2 linked regions of the Arabidopsis thaliana genome follow. The protein of the gene in region 1 interacts with the protein of each later gene in a pairwise test. Each region holds a gene or a part of one and is shown on either strand. Other genes may lie near its edges. The genes, in order: AT2G18110 and AT1G57720.

What was found.
Region 2: the proteins of AT2G18110 (region 1) and AT1G57720 interact in a two-hybrid assay, tested with the Arabidopsis thaliana proteins (one large-scale study listed by BioGRID).

The regions. Positions count from the first base shown.
Region 1 is NC_003071.7:7,870,266-7,874,593, reverse strand, and holds AT2G18110 (Translation elongation factor EF1B/ribosomal protein S6 family protein), read right to left. Parts: upstream 2,394-4,328; 5' UTR 2,287-2,393; intron 1,985-2,286; 5' UTR 1,959-1,984; coding exon 1,876-1,958; intron 1,772-1,875; coding exon 1,655-1,771; intron 1,572-1,654; coding exon 1,354-1,571; intron 1,265-1,353; coding exon 989-1,264; intron 883-988; coding exon 881-882; 3' UTR 584-880; downstream 1-583. Other genes in the region: AT2G18100 (transmembrane/coiled-coil protein (DUF726)), read right to left, coding at 3,257-3,370, 3,457-3,514, 3,591-3,661, 3,784-3,860, 3,938-4,020, 4,134-4,193, 4,294-4,328. UniProt on the Arabidopsis thaliana protein: EF-1-beta and EF-1-delta stimulate the exchange of GDP bound to EF-1-alpha to GTP.
Region 2 is NC_003070.9:21,375,537-21,381,032, forward strand, and holds AT1G57720 (Translation elongation factor EF1B, gamma chain), read left to right. Parts: upstream 1-1,783; 5' UTR 1,784-2,184; intron 2,185-2,198; exon of another isoform or gene 2,199-2,287; 5' UTR 2,288-2,336; coding exon 2,337-2,345; intron 2,346-2,620; coding exon 2,621-2,770; intron 2,771-2,848; coding exon 2,849-2,909; intron 2,910-3,002; coding exon 3,003-3,055; intron 3,056-3,166; coding exon 3,167-3,268; intron 3,269-3,406; coding exon 3,407-3,893; intron 3,894-4,198; coding exon 4,199-4,578; 3' UTR 4,579-4,843; downstream 4,844-5,496. Other genes in the region: AT1G57730 (RING/U-box superfamily protein), read right to left, coding at 5,322-5,496. UniProt on the Arabidopsis thaliana protein: Probably plays a role in anchoring the complex to other cellular components.

The sequences.
Region 1 (4,328 bases):
TTCCTACTCTACCGCTTCCTCCTCCTCCTGCTCCACCATCTCCCGAACTTCCTCCTGCTCCATTACAACCTTCACAGCTTCCTTCTCCACCGGTACAACCTCCACAGTCTCTTTCTCTTCCTCTGCAGATTTCGCAGCCTCCTTCTTCTACATCACCTTCTTGCACTCTTCGTGCTTTGTTATGTCCACCACTTTCAAACGTTTTGTTGGAACCCAAAACGGAAGATTGATCACTACTATTAAAATATCTCCTCACGGGTCTATATCGCAGCCCGTGGACAGAGCTTGAACTCAACAACAACACAGCACCAGAACCTAACAAGAACACCACAAAGCTTGACATTTTCACCAATATCTCTATCGAGAATTTTCTCAAGTAAAAGTCATCTCCATTCCCATCCTTTTTATAACCCAAATCAAGACCACAATAATTATAGTGAGCAACCAAAATGAGCATGCATTACCCATATGAAACCTACCATTTTTTTTGTGGGAACTAAAGAATACAAAAAAGATATGACTTCAGAAATATTGCGTCACACCCAAGGTCCTTGTTCTAGCCTTCTCATATTCTCTGATTGTTAGAAATTTTTGTAAACATAATCTTCTTTGCAATACTAAATTATGCGTACTTGTATTTATTTTAAACATACGTGCATTCTTGCTTCACACTTTCTGTGATGTTATCAAACTTATGATTTTTCGTATTTGAGATTTGGTGGAAACTTTAAGACAAAACTGAATTGTCTTCACATATATCAAAATGAATCAGAGTTGGTAAAAGCCCTCCCACAGAGTACAATAAAAACAGGTAACAAAACTGGATATAGAGAAGAAAACAACAACATAAACAGTTCTTCCTTCAAGCTATTCTCCATCCTCCTGCATTATGATTCAATTCAATATCCAACAGTTAGTTACACACCAAATTATCGTATAAAACAATCTCAGCATTCTAAGTAGTTGAGAAAAGGTTCGTGTAACTTACATATCTTGTTGAAGGCAACAATGTCACAACTCTGGACATATTCATTGATCGGTTCAACAGTGAGTTGCTCTTCGATCATGGTGTCGATAGATACAAGGTCATCAACAATGGTGCACATGATGTGCAACTTCTTGATACCGTAACCAACGGGTACAAGCTTTGATGCTCCCCAAAACAATCCTTCCATCTGAATGGATCTTACAGCTTCCTCTAGCTTCTTCATGTCCGTCTCATCATCCCACGGCTTGATATCCATCAAAACTGATGACTTTCCGGCTGATTAAGAAAAGAAAGAAACCAGATGAGAAATCCAAGACATCATTATATCGTAAACTACAGGTGTAAAGGCAAAAACACAAACTTACATTCTTTCTTCTTTGTAGATGCCTTCACAGAAGCTGCTCTCTCTTCAGCAGCTTTCTTTTCCTCTTCGGTCTCCTCCCCGAAAAGGTCAACATCATCATCATCTTCTTCTTCAGCAGCAGTATCCTTAGAATCAGCTGCAGGGGGAGTAGCAACAGCCTCTTCTGTGATAGGTGATGACCCTTCAACAATGACACCACTTCCTTCAGCAGAGACACCACTGTAAATAGAGAGACAGGTTATAAGAAAACAACACTAGACAAAAACTTTAATTGGTAAAAAACAGAAGGCAATGGAGCTTACGAGATCCTCAAGAGGGCATCGATGTGGTTGAACCAACGAGATACATTGACAAACTCTGAAGTTGGGGGCTTTGAAAGAGCTGTAAACACAGTGATATCATCCTTTGAAGCTTGGTACCTATAAACATACATACATAGAGAGACAGAAGAAAGTAATGGTTACTACTATTGTTTCAAAACAAGATAGATAATTGAGACAGCCCTTAGAAAACAGATTCTAACCCAGTGATGTAACTGCGAGTGAGAAGATGCTCATCGAGCTTCTTCAATCCGGAGCCAGAGTTGAGGTTGGGGAAAGCCGCCATTGTTTCTAAAGCTCGAAACTTTTTCACTGATATAAAGCAGAGAGATCAGATCAGATCAGATCAGATCAAGTAAGGAAAAACCCACCAACGATTCATCAAAAACGAAACTTTCTATTTCATAAAACCAGATCATGACAACAGAAGATCTAAAAGACGAACCATTGGGTTAAAACGTATGAACAACAATAAGAATGCTAATCAACTAGATTTAGATTCACAAACACCGAAATTTAAATTCTAATCACATAATCCCAAAGTTGCATAATTTGAGGTCGAAACAAACCCTAATTGGAGGCGAAAGAAGAATTGAATCGAAGAAGCAACAAACCTGTAGCAATAAAGGAGCCGACTTGAAGAGGGAGAGCAAGAGAGAGAGACGTAGTGGAGGAATTAGCGTCGAGAAGGTGATGTATTTAACCCTCTGAGATTTTTGTGTAATGGGCCGAATTTGGGCCTAACATTTACATTTTAGCGGATTAATTCTCTATCCATTCTGATTTTTGCCATTTGTTTTTTGTATGGATGACACCGAATTAGAAATATGCAAAAATGTACATGTTACATATTAAGAACCTATTTTACCTATTTTCAAATATAATAACTAAAATAATTATCAAATTTTTTATAACACTTAAAATAAACTAAAATATTTTTTTCCAATTTTGTTGGCTTATGAATTAATCAAGTTCGATTGTTTAAGATGATTTTTTTTTTTTTTTTGAATTCTCAAAAAACAGTAACCACACAATCACACATGTACGTTTCTTGCATATTATTATTCTAGCAAGCGAAACAGTATAAAATTTTAGTTTTCACATGTACGTCTGTGAATTTGGGTGATATAAAAATTGATAGATAGGGCCAATGTTATCAACATGTACATCATCATCTACTATCGCCGTACAGAGAGAAAACTAGGAAAAAGCCAAAGTATAAAGGCGACGACGTAAAACTAACTACAAAAATATGTTGAAAGTTCAATAAGACAACAAGGGACTAAAAGCTCGTTTATTATGTCAACATGTATAGTATGTTTGTTTGTTTTTGGTCAACATAGTTTCTCCGATGGTTTTTTCGGGTAAAAAATTAGAACATGTAGGGTTTCAAAATGAGGGAAGTTTTCATGTAAACAATTGTGGGAATGTGGAAGTGTATAATATATACGCACATGAGGAGAAAATGAGAGAAGAAGGGCAATGATGTTTCGTTTTACCTGATTCAGCAGTCATGAGGGTTAATCTAGTCTATGAAACTGGGTGAAAATGGGATATGGTCCTAGTAATAAATGTTGGGTTTAGTTAGAGAGTGTTTCGAAAAACAGGGTAAGAATTGTCGAGTTCGAGTCTTTCCAGGATTTGTTGAGTTTTCCATAGGTAAGATGAGTGACCTTCCACCATATCCGTTACATCTACCTACAAATGTGATGATGATTACTCTGATTGTTTCTATCATTTTCACTTCCTACGAATTGAAGATGAGAGTAAATGAGATGACTTACATCTTCAATCCCCGGTATACAGACCGGTTGGATTCCAGCTAATCCTTGGGACAACAGACTGCAGAATTTAATAAGGAAAAAAGAGTTTGGATTTGCAGGTGAAAGGGGGGATCGAAGAACACAATTCAACATACCTTGCACGAAATGCAACTCCGAGGGTCCAGTCATTTGTGGCGTAAACATTAATGAATCTTCCAGCCACCATCTGGTAACCCATAAAAAAACTCGTATAAGATGATACAGAACACCAAAAGACGGATCTGTTTCCTAGACTGTGACACCAACTCTTGTTAATGGTAGGGAACTCTCATCAAGAAGGTTTATTACCTTTCTTACGTCTCGCCAATTCTCATTCTTGATTGAAATTGGTGCTCCAAGAAGAACAACTCTTTCCACAATTTCAGCTACCGTGAAAAATGTGTTAAAGACAAGAATCAATTGTCAATTCTAAAGCAAAGATAAATATTGAGTGGAGAAATACCATTCTTTTCAGTCTCTGCCAGAGTCTGGAGGCACTTAAAGACAACACGTGCACCAAGCGAAAAACCAACCAGAGTCACAGGTCTGAATTTCTCACAAGTTTTCCAATGTAAGAGAATCAACATGCTGATGTAAAATACTAATTGCACAACTTTCTATCATAAAGATATATGATGGAATTTATCCAATAATTATACCTATTTCCTTGCAACCCTTTTCGAAGCGCTTCAGCAAGAAGCTTCCCTGCTTTGTCTGACCTGAAATAAGATAATACGAAAATAATAGCACATAAACTTACTTGCAGTACTGGTTTCATCACATTTGGCATTTCAGTTTCATCAAATATTTTCATTTTACCTGTCAATAGCAATACTCCATCTACTATCTATAAA
Region 2 (5,496 bases), on another chromosome or scaffold:
ATATCAAAGTATTTCTTGGTTTTTTTTTTTTTTTTTTATAAGCTGCATGAATCTTTCCACTGTTTTAATTAAACTATGTCAATCGAATATGCGGAGCTGAATCGAATTTTATCCTTCTGACTTAATATTTCTCACACTCACTCACTCTCTCAATCTCTCAAGAACCACCAAAGAAAGAAAAACAGAACAAGAACAGAGGATCCAAGAAATAGGAAGAAGAAAAGACGTGAGGCTTTTACGATTTCGGGACTTGATTGAGATCCCTACGTTACGTAATACTTGCAATTCACTATCTTCTCAGTAACTGAATTTCTCACACGAAATTACATATGTTAAAATGTATATATATATCATACACAAGATGGATCCTTGCTCTACCTTTTTATAGCATGCTTTGTTACAACAACTTTTTTTTTAATTTGGTTGTTGTAAAACTTTGTTTCAACAATTATAACAGCCTTTTAACATAACATGGACATTAAACCAAACCTAAAGCGAGTCTACAGCAGCTCAATTATCGGTTCTAATCCGATATGCACATAGCCAACCCACGGTTAAAAGTTGATTTCATTTGATTTCCATCACCAAGGTCAACACTATCAACGTTTTTTGTTTTTTTTGGTCTAACTATCAAAGTTTAATTTCCCATAATATGAAGCTAACCATGCAATGTTGTAAACCCGAATTACATTTTGGTTTCTTAGACTTGATGATGAGTTGATGACTAATTGAAAACAAATTTAAGAGCTTACTAGTGTTCTCTCCAATGCTTCTTTTTTTTTAAATTGGAATTGATCACACACATATATATATTTACGCATATATGTATATATGGATGTGAACAATTAGTATTATTTTACAATAATAGTAAAAAAAAAAATGAACTTACAAATTACAAACCAAACTTGACGATATATGCATGCTCTTTGAGATCATCACACGAGTTGGTCGGAGCCACCTTTCGCAGTCTTGTCTGCTTCGGCTGGTCCATGTTTTTTCTCGGCTTTACTATCTGCGATTCTCTCTCGAGGGCTACACAAGATTCTTCCCAGAAAATGGGAAGCAATTGCCAAGAATATGATCACTATGACGATCAAACACCATTGCCAGATTGGAACCTCCATATCTTTAGTTTGGATTTTTGGTCACACAAAGTAAACGCAGTGCAGAAGAAGAAGAGGCGGAAGATGCTTGAAATTAAAGTTGTTGGTACTGTTGACCAAAAGGAGTAAGTTGTGAAGAAATGATACGCAAAGACTTGTGGAAGGTAACCAATTTTGTAAACTTCGTAGAAGAAATCGAACTCAATAAAAAAACATCTATATATGTATGACATACGAACAATAACATAGTTTAGTGGACCTACCAATAATGCCCTCTAATAGTTTTGGAAGCTACTTAATTAAAAGATTTTATTTCATTTTCACAAAGTGAAAGAAGGGTTACAAAATTCATCAATTTTGTATTTATTCAAACCCATACTTGGAGTTGGTGTATCAAAAACCTAATTATATTAATTGGCATTGTACGTGGTAACGTTTTAGTTTACATCTATGGATCAATCTTGCATAATAAGTTAATAACCCTTTTGAATTTAAAAAGCACAACACAACTTATTTTTAAAAAGGATATATCATTTTCGGATTTAAAGTTTAGTTTGTATGGTCTAAAACTTTGTTTTTGGTTGTCGTTTAGGATATCTTGGAGAGGAAGAAACCACATAGAGACATGAATCAGAGAAGTAACTTTGTGAGGTTGCTTCTACGAATTTCGATGAACTAGTGTTTCTTTTTCTTCTTTTTCAACAACATGCGAGTTTGGCACACCAAGGATATGGATACAACCAACTAAACTACATATCAAAATGGCCATGGGGAAATGTCAGCAAAATCTGTCAAAAAATGCAAAAACAAAACTCCAACTTTACTTTGGGTAAAACAATACGCTAATTTTTATTATGTTATACATAAATGCAAAAGTTATAATCGTTTAAACCTTAAAAATAAGCAAACCAAATTTGACAAAACCAAAAGCTAAACCGAATCAAACGAAAAAGGAATATTCTCCAAAACCGACTTCACACAGCCCTAATTTCCACACTCTAATACTATTTCTCGCCGCCGCTTTTGTATCTTCTTCTCTCTCGCTTTGCTCTCTCGGAATTGTTTTTGCAGAAAGTCTCTCGTAAGAATCAATCTATCAACTTCTTCTTCATATACGCTTCTCTCGTTTCAAAATTTCATCGACGATTAACTGATTTTTACTTGGTGTTTTCTTTGGTAACTAGATCTGAACTCAGAAAATCTCCGAGTTCGTATATCTTCTCCGTTTGAGCAATGGCGTTGGTAAGTACTCACTTCTGAGATCATTACACGTTTCATCAGATCCGTCACGATTGGTTTTACTGATCTGTTGATGATAGTTTATGAATTTTGATTCATGTATCTTAAATCTGGGAATATAGTTTGATTTTAGAATGATTTAGGTATCTTGGACGATTGTTTATTAATCTGAGAACTGGATTTTGTGTTGCATTGAAAAACTACTTTGGATGAATATAACTATGCAATTTCTGTTGAGTTTCATTGATGAAGTTTGTGTAAATCATACTATTTATCAGGTCATGCACACATACAAGGGAAACAAAGGTGCCAATAAGGCACTTATTGCTGCAGAGTATGCGGGTGTGAAGATCGAGGAGTCCGCAGACTTTCAGATGGGCGTCACTAACAAGTCACCTGAGTTCCTTAAGATGAACCCTATTGGAAAGGTATGGAATCTCTTTCGAGAAGTTTTGATTGATGTTTGCTGTAAATTCCTAGCTAATAAAAGATTATGATCCCACTAGGTTCCTGTGCTTGAGACTCCTGAAGGTCCCATATTTGAGAGCAATGCCATTGCCCGATATGGTATAACTTCATTTCCTTCTGTTTCTCTTTGATGCACCTATCTATAACTTGGTATTAATTGGATATGATGATTGTTTTGTTATCCCCCTTCAGTGAGCCGTAAGAATGGTGACAACTCTTTGAATGGATCCTCCCTTATTGAATACGTAAGCTCCTGTTTATCCAATGGCCTTTCCTTTTAAAATTATCGTACCTTTGTGTTTATCTCTTGTTTACTATCATTGATTCATGTCTATGTGCATGTGTTTACTTTTCAGGCTCACATTGAGCAATGGATCGATTTCTCCTCATTGGAGATTGATGCTAACATGTTGAAGTGGTTTGCTCCAAGAATGGGCTATGCTCCCTTCTCTGCCCCAGTAAGCTTTCCCTCATTTTTTGTGCCTTGTCTCATGCACTCTCTGTACTAACAAATCATGCTACTCCTTACTCGCTAAGATTAGTATTTGACTAGTCTAAGCTTGACTAATCTTTTTAATGGTTTTATCTGAATGAAGGCTGAGGAAGCGGCAATTTCTGCATTGAAGAGAGGACTTGAGGCTCTGAACACACATCTCGCCTCCAACACTTTCCTTGTTGGACACTCTGTCACCCTTGCTGATATTGTCACAATCTGCAACTTGAACTTGGGATTTGCCACCGTGATGACCAAGAAATTTACCTCTGCATTCCCTCATGTTGAGAGATACTTCTGGACAATGGTTAACCAGCCAGAATTCAAGAAGGTGTTGGGTGATGCCAAACAAACCGAAGCTGTCCCTCCAGTTCCTACTAAGAAAGCTCCACAGCCTGCTAAGCCCAAGGAGGAGCCCAAGAAGGCAGCCCCTGTAGCAGAGGCACCAAAGCCTGCTGAGGAGGAGGAAGCACCAAAGCCTAAAGCCAAGAATCCTCTTGACTTGCTACCACCAAGCCCAATGGTTCTCGATGACTGGAAGAGGCTTTACTCGAACACCAAATCCAACTTCCGTGAGGTTGCTATCAAAGGTATGTTATATGATGACTTCTGTTAATTGTTCTTTAGAAGAAATTGTTCTAGGTTTATGGAATCAACTTGTTAAGAAGAAAGCTACAAAAATCCGAGACAATGTGCTGTGACATCCTTATAATACCAGTGCTTACTAACGACTCTCTAAACAATTCACAGCTGCTCTAGTCTACTAAATTGCCTCCTAAGCTAGATATAGTAGACTTAGAGGGGTACTCACTATGGTTTATGGGACATGTATGGCCCAGAGTCTGAAAGTACATTCTATTAAGCTCAATGCCTTGAATGTTTTTCTTCATTGCAGGATTCTGGGACATGTATGACCCGGAGGGGTACTCACTATGGTTCTGTGACTATAAGTACAACGATGAGAACATGGTCTCCTTTGTTACACTCAACAAGGTAGGAGGGTTCCTTCAGCGTATGGACTTGGCACGTAAATACTCCTTTGGAAAGATGCTTATTTGCGGGTCAGAGGGTCCTTTCAAGGTGAAGGGTTTATGGCTTTTCCGTGGACCAGAGATCCCCAAGTTCATAATGGATGAGGTGTACGACATGGAGCTGTACGAGTGGACTAAGGTTGATATCTCCGATGAAGCACAGAAGGAGCGTGTTAGCCAGATGATTGAAGACGCTGAGCCATTTGAAGGCGAGGCTCTTTTGGACGCCAAATGCTTTAAGTGAAAAGGCTCTTTGTATCTCCGTAGAGGTTTACTCTGTTACTCGTGTTTTGATACCTTCTAGAGAGTCCTTACCACCTTTTGAATCGTACTCGGGTTTAAGAACTAGTTGCTTCTCAATGTTATTTTGACAGAATATTGTTCTTAAATACATTACAACTTCTAGTTATTGTTTTTATTTTGTTTTTTATTATCCAAACTCGTGTGTGTGACATTCTCTCTTTAAATTAGTTGCTTGGAAGATGCAAAGAATCTCGTTTAATGGGGCATACTGAATTTCATTTTAAAGTTGTAATATTACACGTCTCTAACTTGTCTCTAACACGTCTCTAACTTGATGATTCAGATATGTTCACTAAAACCCAAATTCCTTTTAAGCCAATCGAATGTTGGTCTACACAGCAACATTTAAGAGATAGGTGTAAGAAATAGAGCCATGAGGTGAGCTTATAAGGAGAGTGTATGTTGAACATGTTCATAGATATTAGGTCCGAGAGGCTTAAAATCACTCAAGTTTATTAAGATGAGAAGATATACCAAGTAAACCTAATTCGTTCTCTACAAAGAGTTTAATGACCAAAATAAACAAAAGGTAGATTAAGATCTTGTCTTAAGAAAATCAAATAAATCGAATCATTACTATATTATCTCAAACAAATCGAATCATTACAATATCATCTCAAGAAAATCAACAAATCATCATTCTTAACCTAAAAACCCTAAAAAAAGAAATCTTCATGACTCTGTTTAGGAGTAGTAGGGATAATCGTCGTCATCTTCATCTTCAAGAACAGTGCGGCAGAGAGGGCACAAATTACTATGACCCAACCATTTGTAGATACAGTCATTATGAAAGACATGGGGACAATTCGGCATCTCCTGATAGTCATGTACATCCTGTGACATATCCTCCAAACAAATA